Styela clava: one gene and its partner. The protein of the gene in region 2 interacts with the protein of the main gene of each other region in a pairwise test. Links are inferred from orthologs where the notes say so. Each region holds a gene or a part of one and is shown on either strand. Other genes may lie near its edges.

Region 1 (9,992 bases), on a different chromosome or scaffold from region 2:
TAGACAGCCATTAGATACATTATAATGTATACATACAAAGTGCAGGAAAATCAATGTAAAATTATTGGAGTCATAGGTAGAAGATTATACATTTTTGATAATTTTGATTTAATATCATTTGCTTTCAGAAAAAATCCTTTTTTACTTTCGATTTGAAAATTACATTTAAGACCTACCATTTTTGATATAAGTTATGCCACTGATGATGACATGCAGTTGTCCAAATTCTTGTGATGAAAGGAAACTGAAAAAGGTGCATATCCACAAACTTTTGAGTAAAAGCTACTGTGTTACTGTAATTTCTTATTCCATTATGAGGGATTTTATTTTACTACCATATATGTATTATATAACTGCCATGGAGTAATTTACACGACTGAGAATAACGACTTTTATTTTCGACAGATCTGATGACGAGGCATCTGTTGCTAAATTAATTGAGGCAATGAGACGTTCTGGAAGGAATGATATAGCAGATGACTTGCAGTATGGCTGAAATGAATTCTTCAAATTTAACTATATACACTGTTCTATGTCTATTTTTTCTGTAAATCAAAGTGCAAGCAATGAAAAAAAGCAGAATCTGGAACTGGGTTTGAGCTGGGCCCAATCGTGGCATGAGCCCACAGACTATATCCTACTAAGGTAGTAAATTGATCTCAAATACACCCATCTCATACAACTGTATCAATAATATAGACACAGGAGATTTTTTTCATTCAAAAATCTTGCATGTGTATTTGTTTAAATTTGGTTTAGTGGAGTGTGTTGTTGATTTCAGCATATTGATTGAAAGCTTTGCACTTTTTGAATTTTTTTACAATGAATTTTGATTGCGATATTATAATCCTATTTCATGATTGTCCTTGTCAACTATAGAGTTCTCTTCACAACAGCATATGATTATCTAATCAAGCCTTGCATTACATGACAAATAACGGGTCATGGAATCGAATTATCTCAATACTATCCTGTGGATTGCAGTCTCACTGCTTAATAAAATAGGCTTCTCTGCCACAATGCAAACACATGAACATGTCAACACTGCTGTCCCGTAAAAAATCTTCATATTCTCGTCTAATAAAAAGTTTATTTTAATGCTTTAGAGAGAGTATTTCATCATATTCACCCAAGCGGAATAGGAAAATATGTCTTTTTCTTGAATTATTCATAGTCACCTGACTCGCCGTAAACACAGAAAGTTTCAATGTAGGAAAGTTATATTACTACAATGAGCAAGAAAAAAAAATTACTGAAGCAAGAGAACAATCACAGAATAGGGCTAGGATCAAATCATTGTAAAATATGCATAATAAAATTGTACGATTTTGGTTTTGTATGATGTTCTTGATATTTTAAACTCCAAGATAGTGATTTTCAGGAAGTATAATGTGGTTACACAGATTGTCAATTTAATACGGTAGAACCAATCATTCGACAAAGCTGTGCTGTTCAGATCAAAATGTGTAGTAACCTAATCCATCGAGCTTAAGGGTTTTGCGGGCTCGTTCATTTATCAGAACTCAATTTGACTAAATCTTTTGCTTCAAATGATCGAGTATAAAAACAAATGAAAATTCCAAATTACCTATGCAAAGCTGAAATGTAGGATTACCCCATACATGGGTCTGATATACAAAATGGAATTGAAACGCACGACTATTACATACTAAACTTTCTTTGAGATAAAGAAACAAAAGGTAAATTTAGGTGACTTTGTGATCCTTCTAACCCTACTGGTTGGTATTTGGATAGTGATGAAAGCTCATAAGTTAAAAATAAGAGTATATCAAGCAAATGTACAAAACACATCATTAAGGACTAATTGAAATCTATTAGCCAGTCTGAACATTACTGGAATCAAAAGTGCTTAGATTTTCTTACAATATTAACATGACGGCCGCTTTTCGGCATTATTCTTTGTATGAGCTTCCGCATTTTTATTAAATTTCTTTCGATCTTTCGTGTACTCTTCAGCAAGCTCTCCTCTCAGTGGGTGCTCTGGCTCTGGGTGTTCAATCATGTGAAGCAGAGCTTGCAGAACTGAAGGAAATGCATAAGCCAATCATAAATATTCAAGGCATATAATTAAATTTCCCTATTTTGTTATTGTAATACCAAGTTATGAGTTAGACACCCAATCATAGTCTGAGAGGGACCAGAGCACTATAAGCTGTTGGAGAAAAGTTTAACACTCCTGCGTTGTTATATTACATGTGGGCCACCGTTTAGAGGAATGATTTTGTTCGACTAAATAAAGTTAGGTACGAATATTATATCAACATCATGGCTGCTACTTTTAAAATCGTTGACGCAAACGGTACTAGAGCATATTTAACTATCATTTATCAGGTGTATGAATTTTAGAGGTCAAACGAACTGTTACGAAAATTAAATTTTCTGATATTCGATGAATCCATTGAATTTTTTTTTTCTACCAACTTTATTCGATCTTTAGTCCATTGATAATATTAAATCAATTTATTTTGTAGTCATTCTTAGTTTATGAAATGTTAACAATAATATAATATTGTACACAGGAGCGTAGCCAGGTGGTCCGGCCAGAAAACATTCATTTTCCAAAATCTTGAGGGTCTATAAAAATTGCTATGTAAAGGGGGGGGGGGGGAATTTGAGTGGAAGCTTTCTGCCCAGATACAAATTCTACCACTAACCAACAATTTTATTGGCAAGTTAACAAATGTATTTAGTTTGATAAAAATATAATACAGTAATAGGTGATAGTAAATGAAACAAATTTTGAAACAACATAAATCTGCCAAATATACTGACATCTCTTTTACACAATGAATTTCTATGCAATTAGATAACATGATGAAACAATATCTGTAGCAGGAAATGCAGTTGTGAAATTCAAGCAAAATTCTGCTTGATGAATTAGCCAGAACGCCTTTGAATTTTTATGGCAATATAACAACTTACCCTGTGCAGTTTTTGTTGCTGGTTTCCAGTGTTCTGGGCTGATTATAGGAAGACATATTTGACCTTTCTCATCAACATTGGGGTGGTAGATGCTTGTTTTGAATGTTATTTTTGGTGGTTTAAATGGGTATGATGATGGAAAATTGATTTCTATCTTGAAAGCCCCTTTATTGTATGGACTTTGGTCCTAAAAATACAATTTAAAATGTTTTCAACTGTTACTTTTTAAATCTAATAAACAAGTACTGTAAAATATTAAATATACCGGCAGAAGAAGGATCCTCCAAAGTAAGGCGTTTGAATCGTCTAATTTTACTTCAAGCCTTTTGTCTTTGTCACTGTTAATATCTTGATATTCCTGAAAATCAAGATGTCAACAAGTTTTTTTATGTGCCGCACAAATTGAATAGCTGAGTAATGCTCAATTTGAATGATGAACAAAAAATACATTAACTTGTGATTAATCAAATTAGAAACTAAGAGCCTCATAGCAAAAATTATACTGATTTGATTTTTGTAACCAACTCAATTTTTCATAAAGATGAGGGCATAAATTATACACTAATATGCTGAATATGGCTTATCAATATTAAAAATACAGTACTCCTGTAGTATGTGTACCGGGTTAGGCCATAATTTTATTCTGATTTTCCTTATTTTAGTTCTATTACGAGTTCAGGGACTGTTTGTGTTAGCAAAGTGAATATACCCCCTTGCCCATAGGCTACACAACTTGATGTAAAGTACCCAAACAAAATTTGTTACCTCCATATTGGTACACATACTTCTGTAGCGCCAAAAATACAGCATACAGAAAATTATGGAACCCTGTCATCAGGAGTCGATGAAACATACTGACATGCCATAACTCTGTTACTGGCATACAACAATTAACATTGCAATGACGTTATTACAGTCATAATCCATGTAATCACATTTCCCTGCATTAATTCAGACAAAGGCTGAATAATTACACTTTTGAAATATTATACTCACTTTTGCTAATCTTTTTGATGCAGACATTTTGCTGAATGTCAGACTATAGCAATTAACTTTAATCTAGGCTATATTCCTGTATTCTAGAGTAGGAGGTATATCTAAAATAGAATTTCCATATTTATCCCGGGGAGAGTAAAGCCGATAAGACGGATTATTCATATGGCAAACCACGGTCTCTCAACCAGTTTCCAGCCCATGTTGGGTACCGGTACCGGTATGGGGGTTAGGCTGGTTAGCCAATTACGGTACCTACCAGTATCTGTTTCAGACGCATGGACTTGATGATGAAGGAAGCCTAAACCGACTAGCGGTTACCGAACCGCAGTACCGGTACGTGAACCACCCTCAAGCAAGGGATTTGTACCCACGCATGATACGGTAATCAGAGGTGCGGTGGTAAGCGTGTTCCTCCTAACGCTTAGCACCGATGCGCCACTACCCCCGAGATAAATATGTGAATCTTATCCTATACCGTACATGCAAATGTTTCACTGTCTGTACTAGGAACAAACCTCCCGAAGTGACGGAACTTCCTGTGCTGAAGCTCCATTAAACGCACTAAACCAAAGCCTGAGGTACAACCGAGCTTTTTCTTTAACCTTTCACCCCAGAAAAAATCTTCTTGTCATACCATAGTTACATCATAATGATAGTTATTCGACTGTATGTTAGTCGTTGCTACTAACTGATGCCGAAATGGATGGATGTCTTTCCACAGAGAAAGATAATGATGTTGACCATCTATAGCAGTGTTTCCCAAACTTTTTTCTGCCAGCGCCCCCTTGGACGACTTTTTAACTAGCAAGCGCCCCTCCCCCCCTCCTGACAAAAAAGTCAAACAACATTATTCTCCATTTAACATTAGTATAATGTGAAGGTTTGAGCATAGCGAAATATCTGGCTCCATTTCAGTCAAAAACAGTCTTTAGTCTTGTCTGGCATTGTCAAGGGAATCTCTCTTGATATGTAAAAGTACGGTCACTGCGCGCTCTACCAAGAATGAGCTGTCACGAGCAATAAAAAAATTTCGACCAGATCTCACACGTGAGGATATTTCAATTTGATTCTGTTGCCAAAAAATAGAACAATGAAAGACTGAACATGGGTTTGAAAGTATAAACTCAATGGTAATGGTGCATGTTCGTTCGGGTTATTTAGAAACGGAAACCAAAAATTTCATAACTATTTCCAAAAAAATCATTTAGTTTTGAACTTGAACTTCTGTTTGCCTATAATTATACAGAAGTTTTGCAAAATTTTCAACCACTCACTTAGTTTTCTGCTGGAGCGCACCTTCTGCTGCCAGGACATGGAAATGAAAGGGTTCAAACGGTGTGAATACAGAACAATACGTGGGAAGGATTGATAGAGATGACCAGCGATGGTTCCAGCATGACCACCCATACATCAAATCAGACGCTTGCTGTCCTGAGAGAAAAGTCAGCAATGACATTCAGTAGGCTCCTTAATTATCGGACTGAATTCTCTCAGGTTTTGATATGTAGGGTGTTCGAAAGACAATCCATAAACGATTGGGGAACTCAAGGCTGCAATTGCAGAAATAAAATAGAGAAATACCCAGAGAAGAGTGATTGACAATGTTGCAAAAAGTAGGTAGGGAAGATGGGGCACGTTGGGACATGGGGCACAGTGGAAAATCAGCTCTCACACTAATACTATATTCGGAATCCTGTCCGCGGTTTGATGTTTCAATCCGCCCTTCGGTGAGTTACAACGTCCCCGCAAACAGACAGCGGACGGGTAGAGCGACGCAAGCTATGAGGTGAAATTGGTTTTGGGGGGTTGAAACTAAAATTTCACCGTTCCAGTTTTTTCTTTCTTCTAACTTAGCCTTTTCAACATGACAAACCACCGTCTGATATTTTTCAGCTATAGTCCACCGTGAAATATTTATAACGTTGGCGAGTGGATGGGCCTTCCGAATTTCGCCGTGGGATGATCTGAAGATATTTGTGGATTAGAGAGAGAGAGAGAGAGAGATTTATTGCCACAAAAACAAAATCAACACTAATATAAACATACTACAATAACGAAAATATTCCACAGTAATTGATTATTGCTTTGTGCGGGTCGGTGTGCAAGACCGATTAAAGTCATCTAGTGCTATATATAAGTTCATCATAGGTGAATACAAATGAGATTAAATATAAATATATAAAAAATGAATACGAGGATAAAGGGAAACGAGTCGGCAATTTAATGGTATTATGGAAGTTACTAAGGGCAATTTAGGATTTAGAGAGGTCATGTGTTGGTTGAAGCCGGAGATGTCCAATGAAAAAATTTTCACGAAAAGCATATTTTTTGTTATTGGACACAGACCGGGATCAAAAATGAATACGGAGGATGAAAAATAATATTATCACAGATTCAGTAATAGACCGAGTGCATGATGTAAAAAAATATCATTACTTGTCGATCTTGTTTATCGATCTTTGTCTGTTTGTCTGTCTGTTAGATGCAAGCGATATCTCAAGAAAGCGGGGTTTAATCTCCACCCAATCCAATTTTGCATGTGCGTTCATCATTTCACGGACCATATGGCTATTGATTTTGGTAGAGTTATGTCGTATAATTAGGGAGCTATTAATTAATTGGTGTTTGGACACACGGTGTCACTATAGAGTCATGAATCGAAACCGCAGTTTTGATCGATAAGTCTTTGGTCTCCGACCGATACTCTCGTTTGACACCTTAATTAGTTCACGATATAAAAAGGTTATTGAATTAAAAGTGGCTACCAACATTCTTAAGTATTAATACATACTTTTGAAATAGAATAGTAGGTAATATATGATCCACAGTTAAATATGAACAATTAAATATGCAATTATTATTGCAGTTAATCACTTTTTCACAATATATAAAGGTTATTAAATTAATTAACAAATGGGCTACTATCATTTATAAGTATTTATGCATACTTGGAACTAGAATATTAATATGTGATCCACAATTAAATACGCAATAACTATGCAGTTCATCAGTAATACCACAATAACTTCCAATGACATAAAAAAGGTAATTACAGTATATTAGGCAGTACTATATGGATCAAGGGAGCAAGATTTTATACTCAATTACATGGAGAAATGAAAATAACAATGAGCCAATCATAAGATAGAAATATCAATAACAATGGGTTTTAAAGTCGAACATAGAAATCATCAAATTGATGCCAATGAAAGAAAAGAGGACAGCAATTTTATTACCTATATACATACATGAGTTGGAAAAAAGGCTATGACCCTCAGTGTGCAGTGTTTATATGAAACAGTTAAATTTATAGTAATGTAGTAATTTATATAATGCAGTTTTCAACACAGTTCTAAAGGCATATTAATTAAACTACAGATATTAGGACAAGTTAGAATATTTCAGTAGGAAATATTTTTTCAGTTTCTTACTGAAAACATGCACAGAACTTTTTTTAGTTTCAGGTGGAACATTGCCCCAGACCTGTACACCCATATACTTCAAAGATGTTTTGTCCACCTCAGTGGACACTTGTGGAGTAAAGAAAACCTTGTTTCTTTGAGACCTGGTGCAGTAATTGTGCACTTTTTTTAATGGGGTGAAATAATACCGATGCATGAACTTTGCTATTTCTGGCGTATGTATATCAGACAGCTGTAGGAATTCATACTGGTAGTAGAGCTGCAAATTAGTTACACGAACTTTCTCTGCAATTGCCATACATCGTAAATCTTTATTCTGCAAAACATGAACTGGCTGTAAGGAAGACCTTGATGCTGAGCCCCAACTTAGCAGACCATATTGCAGACGTGAGTGAAATAGACTAAAATATACTAATTTAAGTGTTTTAGATTTCAAAATATGCCTTAACCTGTAAAATATTCCAAGAGTTTGCGATAATTTCTTGGATTTTGTTTGTTCTATAATGTTGCTGCCAATGCCAACTCTAAATGTGGAAATACCATACTTTTTATCACAGAACAACATAAATTTTGTTTTTGAATAATTTAGGGATAATTTGTTCGCTTTAAGCCAATTATCGACCTTCTGGAGTTCATGATTCACCACAGTTTGGAGTTCTAAACTACAGGATGCTGATTTTAGCAGAGAAGTATCATCGGCAAATAATGTCGAATGAAAAGTAGATGCCAAAGATAGATCGTTTATGTAGCATAGAAATAACAGCGGGCCAATCGTGGAACCCTGGGGTACCCCACATTCAATAAGGCCCATTTCATAGATACAATCCCCATATTGGACATATTGTTTGCGGCCACTTAAATATGATGCAATAAGATGATATGCCTTTCCTCGAATGCCATAATGATATAACTTATCTAGTAAAATTTGGTGGTTAACAGTATCAAAAGCTTTCGCAAGATCCAAAAAGATGGCACATGTGATCTTGTTATTGGCCTTATTTTCTATTATCATTTCTTTGAGCCGTGCTATGGCTAGCTCAGTTGAATAGTTGTTTCGGAAACCAAACTGGGAAAGGCTCAAAGTTTCATGTTTATCGAAATAATATTTGAGACGATGATATAAATTTTTTTCATAAATCTTGGCAATTTGTGATAGCAGGGAGATTGGCCTATAATTATTCGGATCATGCTTAGACCCTTTCTTATGGAGCGGGATCACCTTAGCTATTTTCAGTATATCTGGATACACATGATCTGTAAAACTTTGATTAAAAAGAGAGGATAAAATTGGTGATAAAACAAGCTTGGCGATTTTGAACATTTTCACTGGTATATCATCACTACCTACAGCTTTATTACTATCTAATTTATCTATTTGTTTTTCAATTTTCAGTGGTGTGGTATCACGAAGAAAAAATGATTCACTGATGCTTGGTCCAAGAGTATGCATGTGGCTGTTCACAGCTGGACTTATTTTTGACGCAAGCATTGGACCAACTCTTAGGAAATGATGATTCAGGGCAGCACAAATGCCAGTATCATCAGAAATTTTCTTACCATCACTTATAATATAAGGTGGTAGTTTGTTAACCTTGGAATAATTACCAATTTCTTTGCGAATTTCGGTCCATGTTTTTGCAATATCTTTTTGGTGTTGAGAAAATATGTTTTTATAATATTCTTGTTCGGCTCTTGTGAGAGTCCTACATAACGCATTTCTATACTTCTTGTATTTTTTTATTTCTACTTGACATTTGCTCATGCAGCATCTATTATACATCTTATTTTTGGTTTTGATGGACTTATAAAGATCCATGGAAATCCATGGTTTAAGCTTAAACTTGCGTTTCTTCAAGTCAGTCTTATATGGAGCATGATTATCAACTACAGATTTGATCACATTAATAAGAGAATCGAATTTTTTGTTTATATCGTAGGATGTTTTATCAACATCTCTTTCTACTACAGAACTTAAATGATCAATAAAGTGTTCAGAGTTAAAATTACTAAAGTCGCGTCTCCTTATTTTAATCTGGGACCTCTGACATGCTAGATGTATATGAGCCAAAAGGGGGAAATGATCAGAAATATCATATTTAATTATACTATTATTATGGGGAACAATGGACCGGGGTTCAGTAGGACATGCCCTACATGGCACAATTCGACAGTGTTTGATACAACAAGTGCTTAGAGACTTAGAGATGCGTTATATTTTTATGTAACATTATGATATCTTTCGACTCATGGTTCAATATAAAATATATTCGAGAATCAAAAATATTTCCAGATTTAGATTCGGATTAGAAAATAATTTAATTTGTAAGCGAATTTTTTGGTGAAATATCTGAAATATTTTGGTTGAACATTGATTTTAAAAATCTTAAATCTTCAAATTTGAGGTCTCCCTGTTCTTTAGACGATTATGCTGATTGATTGCTTATTTTTAAGGGCATACTTCGTTGAATTTTTACAGAATGACCCATTGTGGCCCAGGGTCTGTCCGAATGTGCCCCACAAGTGGGGTACAGTGGGACACCTGACAAACGTTTTTCAAAGCATTTCCAGTGTAGACAAAATTGAATAATTCGCTCCATTTTCGTAAAAGTAATTGAGAAATTGATGGTTCCG
Region 2 (10,701 bases):
GTTTTTATTCCTAATTATTGTTGATGCAAAACATATAAAAAGGTTTGAAAAATTGACACACATAAATGCGTCCACCCATACACAAGAAACTTTCACAATAAGTGTTTCGCGGGATAGGATTCCACTATAGGATATAGGAACTATAGGATTCCATGGAATCCTGGTTCCTAAGTTTTTTTCAGGCAAGTCAAATTTTTGAAAATTCCATAAAATCTCACAACTCATGAATATGCTTAAATACTAGGCCGTGTATAATGCTTATGCTTTCATCTGTCACTAAATTATTTGACCGACTAATAACAGCACATGATGTGAAATTTCTCCATATACAATTACTATCGAGCAACACTTCAATGAAAAAATAAAATAAACAATAAAATTCACTAGAAAATAAAAGCAGTAACTTCTAGGTTTTTGTAGAAAATACAAACGAAGCGAGAAAATTTTCAGGCGACTCATAGGTTGGGATACACTGATCTAGACCAGAGAATATGTCTATTTTTTACTTGTATTTCATCAGCTCTAGCTGCATAAACGTGGCCTCTAGAGTTTCTTTCATAAAATAAAATGAGTTTTTGGATATAGGCATACTTACAAGGTAAACGGTTCATTCCATTGTGGATTGTTAGATTTACTGATGATCTGTGTTTTCTTGGGAGGTTCCCCATCGAGACGTACAGTAACGTACGAATCCACTACTTTGATCGTACCAAACCATCCTTTTGGATGAAGGACCCCGCTTTTCACTGAAAATTTTAAATAATGAATAGTACAAGTTGGTTAGAGGGGGAGTGGGGGTAGGAATCATTTTTGACAACAGAAGACTCTGCGCCCATACACAAAAACAACTCCTGAATATGTAGAAGTAGGAGTAATGAAGGCTTTACCAGATGCAATTTTAATGAATGCACATAAAAAAAATTTGAAATATTCGATTTTTGTATTTCACTTGTAATATTAAAATGCCAGAGTAAATAAAGATTTAATATCAGGTGGTACATCGCTCGAAATACGGATATCGGTAGACCACAGTCACCTACAAATGTTTGCTAACATCAAACACTGAAATCAGTCAGAAAAGACACAGTTTAAAAAAAGGTTCATAATTTCCACAGAGATGCTTCAACCCAAAATTTATTTTTACAAGTCAGTCAATAGGATGGCATGCAACAACAACATTCACTAAGTTTCAGAGTTGAATAATTCCAGAAATTGGGTATAAGTATATTCTACAAATACTCTTGATTTCGGAACTAAAGCCAGTAATTTCGAACCAGTTCCCCAGCTCTGCTTCGTACTGAGTGTTTGAAAGCATGCCTTAGATATAAAAAATATAACAAAAAAATTTAAAAAAATCAATCATACCTGTCACTTGAAGTTGTGAAAGTGACGCTTGAGGTCCATTAGTCTGCATAGTTATTGTTTATTATGATGTCACAACACCTCTGATACTGTGGTTGTTTTCAGCCTGGTGTTTCATTCATTTTGGTATCTTACATATTTTAGATTTATCCCACTTAATTAAGTTATCTGTAAAACCATGAAGTTAATTGAAAAGAGCAAAGAAAATACAGACTGAAAATATAGTATGTTGTGCTGACCATTAGGAATACATTCACTGTCTACATGTGTGATTTCTCAGGTCCAAATCTCTCGGGGGATGATTACGTCTGCAGAGGATTGCTGGACTCCTCACCGTCGTAGGGTGGTTCACATACGGTTACGACTTCTGTTGCCATCAAGTCCATGAGTATGAAACAAATAACTAGCTAACTAATCCTATACCCAACATTAACGTGGGTTGCCATATTATGGTTAAACATAGTTCTCTGATTCCAGAATAGCGGCTATAAATTGGAACATCAAAAAATGCATGCACGTCTTTAAAACAGGGGGCTTCGAGTGGGCAGAATGCTTAATGCGTGAGATGTAAAATGCATGTACGTCTTTAAAACAGGGGGCTTCGGGTGGGCAGAAAGCTTATTGCGTGAGATGTAAAATGCATATACGTCTTTAAAACAGGGGGCTTCGAGTGGGCAGAAAGCTTAATGCGTGAGATGTAAAATGCATGCACGTCTTTAAAACAGGGGGCTTTGAGTGTGCAGAAAGCTTAATGCGTGCCTGGATATACATCACAGAATGTCACATACAGAACGACTCTCGCATCGAGGCATTCACTTTGATATTTTAGTATAGATTGTTCGTGTCAAAATTTAAATAAAAATCGCCATGACAGATGGTATCATAATCCGTTGTGAGTTTCTATCATGAAAAAAACCCAAAGATGCATTGTTCAATTGTTATCATGTATGGACAGACTGACGAACATATCATTGATTTCGTGCTTCGTTTTGATGTATGATATATTGTTGACCTGAGTAATTTTTAACCTGAGCGTCACATATTGCAGTAGTATATATCTTTTATTATGTTTATTTCATGTGATAAGAGCCTATATTGTGTTGATCAAAATGTAATTTTTATTATCTCTCATCTATGTGTTATCATAAACATGTCATCCTGTCTATAATGAAAATAAAAGCTCGTAGACACGAGGAACAAGCCAAGCCAAGGTTGTGCAACGATGGAAGCCAGATATGAGATTGGATGCGTCAATTAAAATTCGGTGACATCATCGGAGCTCGGTTACACGCCTATAGTTTTTGCATTTCTCTCAAACGCTTCGGTAATTTTTTTTTCCTTCAGTAGATCAGATTGTTATTTCCGAGAAATCCAATGGTGGTGGTTTGAAGTTGCGTTTCTTTATAGTTTGTTCCCGAAAGGGAAGGTCTGACATTCCTGAAAGAAGGAGTCCGACGTTCCTGAAAGGAAGGGTCAGTATTCATCGGTAAAATGGAATCTTCTGAAACTGAAATGTTGCTCGATCTGTAAATTGTGCCATACTGTAATATTTATCTTAACTCTTGTCTTGATCAATTTTGGCGTAGAAAGGAAAAAGAGAAAAGCTAGTAGAATTAAAAAAAAAATAAAAAATTTATATTCAGGGTTACAAATAGCTACACGTAGAATTCTAGAATTTATAACCACTTTATATTAATAAATATTTTTACTGTGAACTTATTTCAATTGGGGCGAACATGGAGAGAGCTGACTCTGATGACCGCATGGTCGTATCGCTTGCTCCAGTCAGCCAATTCATACCGAGAAACGTTGTTTCTACTGCTTTATATTTATTATTATTATCATCATATTTATGTATTTATGTTTTTTATTGTTGACAAATAATTAATCTCTCTCTCGATAGCAAACTACTACTACTGACTGACAAATCTTAATGCATAAATAAATTTCTGTTATGTCATAAAACCTAAAAACGAGATTTTCAGATTCCGAGCTGTCTGAGCTGTGCTTTTTATTATCAATAGACTTATCATAAACCAAATGAATTTCTGCTTCATTCAATTTAATATCATAATTATGTCAGTCAACTGTCCTGTGCAATGTTCTATTAACGTCCTGAAGTCTGACTTCTACACCGTCTACAGGCAGACCCGCTGTCTGGCTGTGTCACATTACAGCATTATCTGATCACCGTACTGCACCGGTATTAGGATAGGATTTACATATTTATCCCGGATTACAGTACAGGTACCGTATTTTTATGAAATATTGCTAAAAATCTTGAATAGTTTTTATCCACTTAACAGAAATGAGCTGAAACAGGGCAGAACTCAAAACCAAACAATGAAAGTCAGGAAAGTTAAAAGTGAAAAGACAATCATACGATTACCTGTGCGTAAATATGACAACATCCTGTTCCGGTTACATGGTTAGCTCATGTCTTTTATTTACATAACATACACAATAAATGCGGAAAATTAGTAGATACCATTCATGTTTAACCTCACAAATGTATAAAAACACATTAATTTGTGATCTTTTTTACAAAAACAAGCCCCCGCTTCCAACCTTTCACTGTTTCGTAAGAAATTGGCATCGCTCCCCAGCTGACAAGTTTGCTTTATGACGTCGGTCACATGAATAAATTGAATCATTAGCGCATGACGAAATTTCAGAAAGTGGTTTACTTGTTAATATCTTTGAATAATATTCTCATTCTATGGAAAGGAAAGGTGATAAAACGGCTCAATTTTAGGGCGAGACCCGGGCGATAGACCGTGCTATCCAACAGCGACAGGAAAGCCGTTAACGCATCTCAATCATAAAACGGAAAAGGGCGCCTGTTACCCGTCATTTTTGGCATGTGAAAAGTTAATCAGTTTTAGATGCGTGGTGGACTTCATGGTCAAGAAAGCCCCAACTGGCCGCAGTCACGTGAACAGCCTTATAAAAACGAGGTGTCCCGCTAATCTCCAATGGGGGTGGAAACAGTGCATGAAACTTGAGGGGGAACCTATTCTTCACGCCATTCAGCCCTTTATCATTCCAGAAGCGATTAGCGCATAACTGCTTGTCAAATTTCTAAATGATTCTGTCCACCAAGCTAAATACATTTTGTCAATCAAGCCAAATAGCACGACAACAACTTTCCCGCTGTTAGTTGCTTGCTAAAGTCACGAGAATTGTATTCATCTACATAATTCTGGAATTACGATACGATAGATTTTCATATTTAACTCGTACCGAAGGGTATAAGTATAAGTATAAGTTTATTTCGACTCCATAATCAGCATAACAATACATTTGACAGATAAAAACAAATAAATAAAATCTGATTATGAAATCAGGGGAGCAAACAAAACCTTAGATAAGGTTTATAACGTACAAAATATAAGATGAAAGGTTTTGCCAAGAGGAAGTGGTACGTGTTTACTCACCTAAAATTATCAAGTTATTTCACACACGCTCACATGCACACACCAGCCACACACACACACAACCACTGAGAAGTTATTTAAGTAAGAATGAAACGCGATAAATTTAGGGTATACTATACAGTAAACAAAAAAAAAATAAAAAATACTAGAAAAGAAAATTATCTGCCACACCATATTGATATTTTTGTAATGGTTGCCATTGCCAAATTGATCGATCTTCTAATCGTTGATTAGGTATATAAAAGGAAGATTCTATTGAAAACATATTGCCAAGCTGATTATAGTTGGAGTCAAATGCCAAGTTGCCCAACCAAAGTTGCCAGAATTGGGTGCATGAAGAGGTGGGCGAGACCATTTCATTCCCCAAATTAGAGCCTATTATTGCCAAATTATAGTCCAGATTGTAATAAGTAATTAAGTTACCGGTAACAGTAAAATTACTATAATTAAGTAAAGTAGGATGTGGAAATAAATTGGTTACAAAGGGTCTAAGTGAGGTTTTTCATTCTTGGGTATTGATTTCAGACAAGGATATGGGAATGAGGTTGTTATTTCACAGGATATCGGGAGTCTTTTTTTGTTTTTTTCCGTATGTGTTTTACTTCATTTAATCACTTTGAAGTAACCTGAAAAACAAAAAATAAAACTGCGAGTAGATGTTTCAATGATTGGGTGAAGGGGAACGCTCTGAACTATTTATTACAGGCAAAAAATAATTGTTTAATTAAATGGGATGTATTGTCATTATATAGCGATGGATAGATGATCTATGATGACATTCTGCTTGGGACAGAGAAAAATTTATCACACCATGCAAAAAACACACAAAATTTTACTATCTATACCTTGGCCAACAAGTCAACTCAAACACCATGCCTTAACATAAAACGCATGCATACATAAATGATATAAAAACCACATCCAATTACAATGACCCACAGCAAATTAAAATCTGAAGGGGAGAATCCAACATAGCTCTACTGCTCGCCTAGTTGCAATAATTAGTAACCTTGCAGGAACAATATTGTACTATCTACAACCCTTATACCACCACTCAAACATAAGACCAAGCGTGTATGATAGGGACATCACAGCTAGAAAAAGATAAAAACACGAGCGTGAAGTGATAGAATGTGTGCAGTTATTTAAAGAAAATATCATCCGAGTACGTTAGCTACCTATATATTTAAAAAAATATATATATACTCATGCATGTCACAATACCATTTCTTTGGTGCTGGACTAGTTCTGGCCAAGTCGTGGCAAGATATTATTATAGTCGTGGCACAATATTATTATAGCTGTTCAACATTTTCATTAAAACAATAATGTGCAAGTGTGGAGTGTCCCAAGTTTTTGTCATCGAATACCACCAGTAGTAATTTTTAATATTTAATATTTGGAAACTAAATGAGACTTGACTTGTTTTTGAAAAGATTTTTTGGACTTAAACGTCTTCAAATTTAAGGGAAGAGAATTCCAAAGTTTGGGTCCAGTAAAAGACAAGGAATGCTGACTCACGGATTTACTCATGAAAGGTACGAATAAATCAGAACTACTTCTTCGGTTGGAGGTATTTTTGACAAGTATGTCATTAAAGCAATTGGGCAGCGCATTATTATGGAAGTCGTGAGCTAGAGATAGTATTTCAAATTTCATCATATCTTCAACCTTAAGTATATTTAGTGATTTGAAGTAAGAGTCTACACTTTCATGTTTTCTTTTACCAAAAACTATTCTTAAAAAATTATTACAAATACTCTGCAGTTTTGAGACAAGTGTTTTATTACCATGAAGCCAGACTGAACAACAATATCGAATATGGCTAAGTAGTAATGATTGAAACATTGCTAGTAGAGCTGATTGATCAACACACTGGGATACTTTGGCAGAAACTGCTAGGTTTCTTTTTGTTTTACCAATAACATGCATTATTTGTGATTTCCATGACAGATTTTCATCAAAGATAACTCCTAGAAATTTTATTTCTTTCACTCTTTCAATTTCATTGCCATTGAGCAGTAGTTTTTTTGAACAACTCACACTTTTATGCTTGCTTGGATGGAATAATACAAATTTAGTTTTGTTAGCATTCAGAGATAATTTATTAACTAACATCCAGCTATGAATGTTGGTTAGTTCTTGGTTTGCAACTGTGAATAGATCTTCAAGGTTTTCCCCATGAAGAATCAAGTTAGTGTCATCAGCAAACATGATCGACTCAGAGGATTTCAGACACCTGGACATGTCATTAATGTAAGCTAGAAAAAATAATGGGCCAAGTAAAGATCCTTGTGGAACTCCGTGCTTCATGACACAAATATTTGTAGAGAATGAGTTGTCATATTGCACAATTTGCTTCCTGTCTTGAAGGTAGCTCTTGATCCAATTGAATGGAACGCCTCTAATTCCATAGTGATAGAGCTTACTTAAGAGGATGGAATGGTCAATGGTGTCAAAAGCTTTTGAGATATCAAGAAATATTCCAATTGCATGTTGTTTGCATTCAAACGCATTGGTCAGTTTGTGTACCAAAACATTAGCAGCCATAGCAGTGGAGTGATGCTTGCGGAAACCAAATTGATGCGAGTGGAAAACATTGTTAGTTTCAAAGTAGTTTGACATTCTACTATACATTATTTTTTCAAGAATCTTAGAAAATGATGGTAAAAGACTAATAGGTCTATAGTTTCCAAGATCTGAAACACTACCTTTTTTAAACAGAGGAAGAACTTTGGATGTCTTGAAGCTTTCAATGAATAATCCACTAGATAGTGAAAGATTAAATATATATGTCAGGATATCAATAATATGTTCTGGAACATATTTCAATATTTTAAATGGAATACCATCGATTCCAAAACTTGACTTGGGCTTCATATCGCGTATAATATTTTTTATTTCTAATGATGTAGCTGGCCTTAAGAACATGGATGAGGATTCTTGCTTCCCAAGATATGAAATGTAATTTTTGTCACAGCCAGCTGGTTGTGGCATACAGTGTCAAGCAGGCTTTGTGCCACTTGGGAAAAGTGTTCATTAAATTTATTTGCAGTTTGTGTATTACTGCAATCAAGTCCAATCAAAGGACAAGAATTTGTTTTATTTTTACCAATAAGCTCATTAATTGTTTTCCACACTGCCTTGATGTTGCCTTTGTGAGAAGCAAATTTAGATTTGTAATAATTCGATTTCTTTTTGTGGAGCAATCGAGTATAAAGGTTCCTGCATTCATTGAACTGTAATTTGTGCTTGTCATTTATGTTTTTATTGTTTATTAATTTCTTATAAAGTTTTTGTTTGACTTTGTTGAGTTTGCGTAACTCAGTATCATACCAAGGTTTGTTTGATCTGTTTGTCTGTTTTTTGTAAGGAAAAGATTGAGAGTAAGCAGTGGAGAATTTTTCAAAAAAATTTTCAAAGCAAGTGTTGGGATCCTGGATGCTGCTGAAGTCATCAATATCAATAGAATTCAGTTCATTCTTAAACGTATTCAAGTTGGACGAAGTAAACTGGCGATAAAGCGTTTTAATTCTGGTCTGAATTTGCTTTTCTAGAAGAGAGCATTGTACAATCGGCAGATGATCAGAAACACATTCTGCTAAAACAGCACTGTTAATTTTTTTATCATATACGTTTGTCCAGATATGGTCTATACAGGTAGCAGAACTTGAAGTTATCCTGGTGGGGCAGTTTATCAAAGAATAATAGGCCAGGTTGTGCATAATATCAACAAATAGGCTGGTATTCATATTGGACTCATCAATAAGATTATAGTTGAAGTCACCCATTATATAATTATAATTCAACCTGTTCATCTTTGAGAGAACTTGGGACAAGAGATTCCGAAAGTTAGCATTGTTCAATTCATCATTTAGTGGTGATCTATAAATAGTACCGCAGGTTATTGTTTTATTTTCCAATGATATGTCAATGAATATAGATTCAAAAACCTTTTCGCACATTATAGTAATATCTTTGCGGACAATGTATTTCAAATCATTTCGAATGTAGAGACCAACACCACCACCTCGGTGATGAGATCTACTATTAGAGATAAAAACATAGCCATCCAGTGCATTGAAATGGCCATTTGTACCAGATACAATCCATGTTTCATTTACAGCAATTACATGAGGCTTACAATTCAGTGAATTAACTAGTGCTTCAAATTTTGTGAAGTTTTTGAAAGAGGCTAAAGATCTGATATTGATGGAGAGAGTCATGAAACCACTTAGTTTAAGGCTGTCGTTGAATTTAAGGGCATTGACATCACTGGAGCAGATATATTGATTTGAGCAATTGTACAAGAAAACACTATCAATGTTGTTGAATTCATCAGTATCAGTATTTGCTGATTCAAGAAACATTTTCTTAAGGTATTCAGGATCAAGAATTTTGGCAAGTGCCTGGGCTTCAGCTTTTTCTGTATGAAGGGGAACAAATAACTCAGATATTTCAGAATCAGAGAGACAAGAGAATGGCATACAGTCTATTTCACAAAGGAAACAGCACCAAGGTATTTCATCAGCTTCAGATTCAAGATTTTCATATTTTTGTCCAGAAATATTGGTACATTTTAAATGTATCCAAGAAGAACAAATGTCACAATAAAGAGCTTTTTGATTGATTCGAACTGATTTGTGGCAATTTCTACATGGGTATTTTAAATTAGTTTTCATGGCAGTGGCACAACAAAATAAAAGTAAAAAATAAAAATGAAAAAAAATAAGTTAAATATCTAGTCTGGCTATATAGGTTTCCAGATGTTTAAAAGATGGAGAACCATTGATTAGACAGCACTAGCCTATTCAAATAAGAAAAATGGAGATTATGAATGAGTTAATCGTTCCCCTCCGCTCATAGGCTACCGCTACGTCTTGAGGTTGGTCCCACTGAACGGGCAGCAGCCTTGGAGTAGAGGGGACGAGAGAGAGTAGTGATATCATTTGAGGAAGATATTACTCGCCTTTTATCTAGGTAAGCGTAGATAATCCCATTCATTGTGCTCACTTTTTGTTTTCCGAAGGCTTCCTTGGCAGCGCTGAGTAGCTTGAGCCTGCTACGGGTCAAGGACTCAGTGATGGACAATCCGCTGCCTTTGAGTTCTTTTTTTCTACCATACACCATATTCTTCGTTGATCTTCTGACGAATATGATGATGATGGGGTTCTTCGGAGATCTTGATTTTAATTTGTGAGTAATATCAATGTCAGTGTTCACAATAGGATGGTTGGGTTTAAGGCTGTCGTTGAGAGTTTTCACTACAAAGTCTTCGAACTTATGGTATTCAGTTTCTGGCACAGAACTACAGCCATGGAGAATCACACAGTTTCTTCGGCTGTATTGTTCTAAATCGTCCTGTTGCTTTTCACAAGTCTCCAGCCTGCTAATAATCTCCTGGATCTTGGAGGAGATTTGAGCCACGTCATTCTGGAACTTAATGATGTCCTGGGACTGGTTGCCATGGTCTTTAGAGGCAGATAATAGAGTTGCATGTGACATTAGCTCCTCTTGCTTGGCCTGGAGAGATGAGATAGCTGCCAGAATCTGGGTTTGGACTTCCTTGTTCATCTTGAAGTAACGTTAGTGCAGTAGTGTGATTGATTGCAAGGTGAAATTAGGTAGGTATGCAGATAGTATATCCAGTAAGATCCACGTACAATAATAGTACAGAAGGTAGTAGGCTATCGTACTTTCAGTCTAATCAAAGATTACAATAACATCTGCAAACTTGGACAGCAAATAATGAAGGGGAAGAGAGTTTCCCTCGTGTGATTATAACTTGCGAAACCGTGCAATGTGACCAATGACCAACGGTGCTATGACAAGATGGTTCATTGCATATCGCACCATCCATCCAACCTTTCGCTTCGTGCTGAGCTGTTTAGAATCAAGATTT

The links.
Region 1: the proteins of NEDD4-like E3 ubiquitin-protein ligase WWP1 (region 2) and ubiquitin-conjugating enzyme E2-18 kDa-like interact in binary tests that used the Caenorhabditis elegans proteins (3 or more experiments, as listed by UniProt). The link is inferred for Styela clava from reciprocal best matches to the Caenorhabditis elegans genes wwp-1 and ubc-18.

What each region holds. Positions count from the first base shown.
Region 1 is NC_135253.1:6,115,316-6,125,307, forward strand, and holds ubiquitin-conjugating enzyme E2-18 kDa-like, read right to left. Parts: upstream 4,099-9,992; 5' UTR 3,967-4,098; coding exon 3,940-3,966; intron 3,302-3,939; coding exon 3,209-3,301; intron 3,131-3,208; coding exon 2,944-3,130; intron 2,044-2,943; coding exon 1,889-2,043; 3' UTR 1,069-1,888; downstream 1-1,068. Other genes in the region: uncharacterized protein LOC120326413, read left to right, coding at 406-496. UniProt on the Caenorhabditis elegans protein: Ubiquitin-conjugating enzyme E2. Accepts ubiquitin from the E1 complex and catalyzes its covalent attachment to other proteins. Required for diet restriction-mediated lifespan extension, probably acting as part of a complex with ubiquitin-protein ligase wwp-1.
Region 2 is NC_135262.1:268,252-278,952, forward strand, and holds the start of NEDD4-like E3 ubiquitin-protein ligase WWP1, read right to left. Parts: upstream 3,938-10,701; 5' UTR 3,752-3,937; intron 2,970-3,751; exon of another isoform or gene 2,823-2,969; 5' UTR 1,415-2,822; coding exon 1,366-1,414; intron 747-1,365; coding exon 596-746; intron 1-595. UniProt on the Caenorhabditis elegans protein: E3 ubiquitin-protein ligase which accepts ubiquitin from an E2 ubiquitin-conjugating enzyme in the form of a thioester and then directly transfers the ubiquitin to targeted substrates. Ubiquitinates klf-1.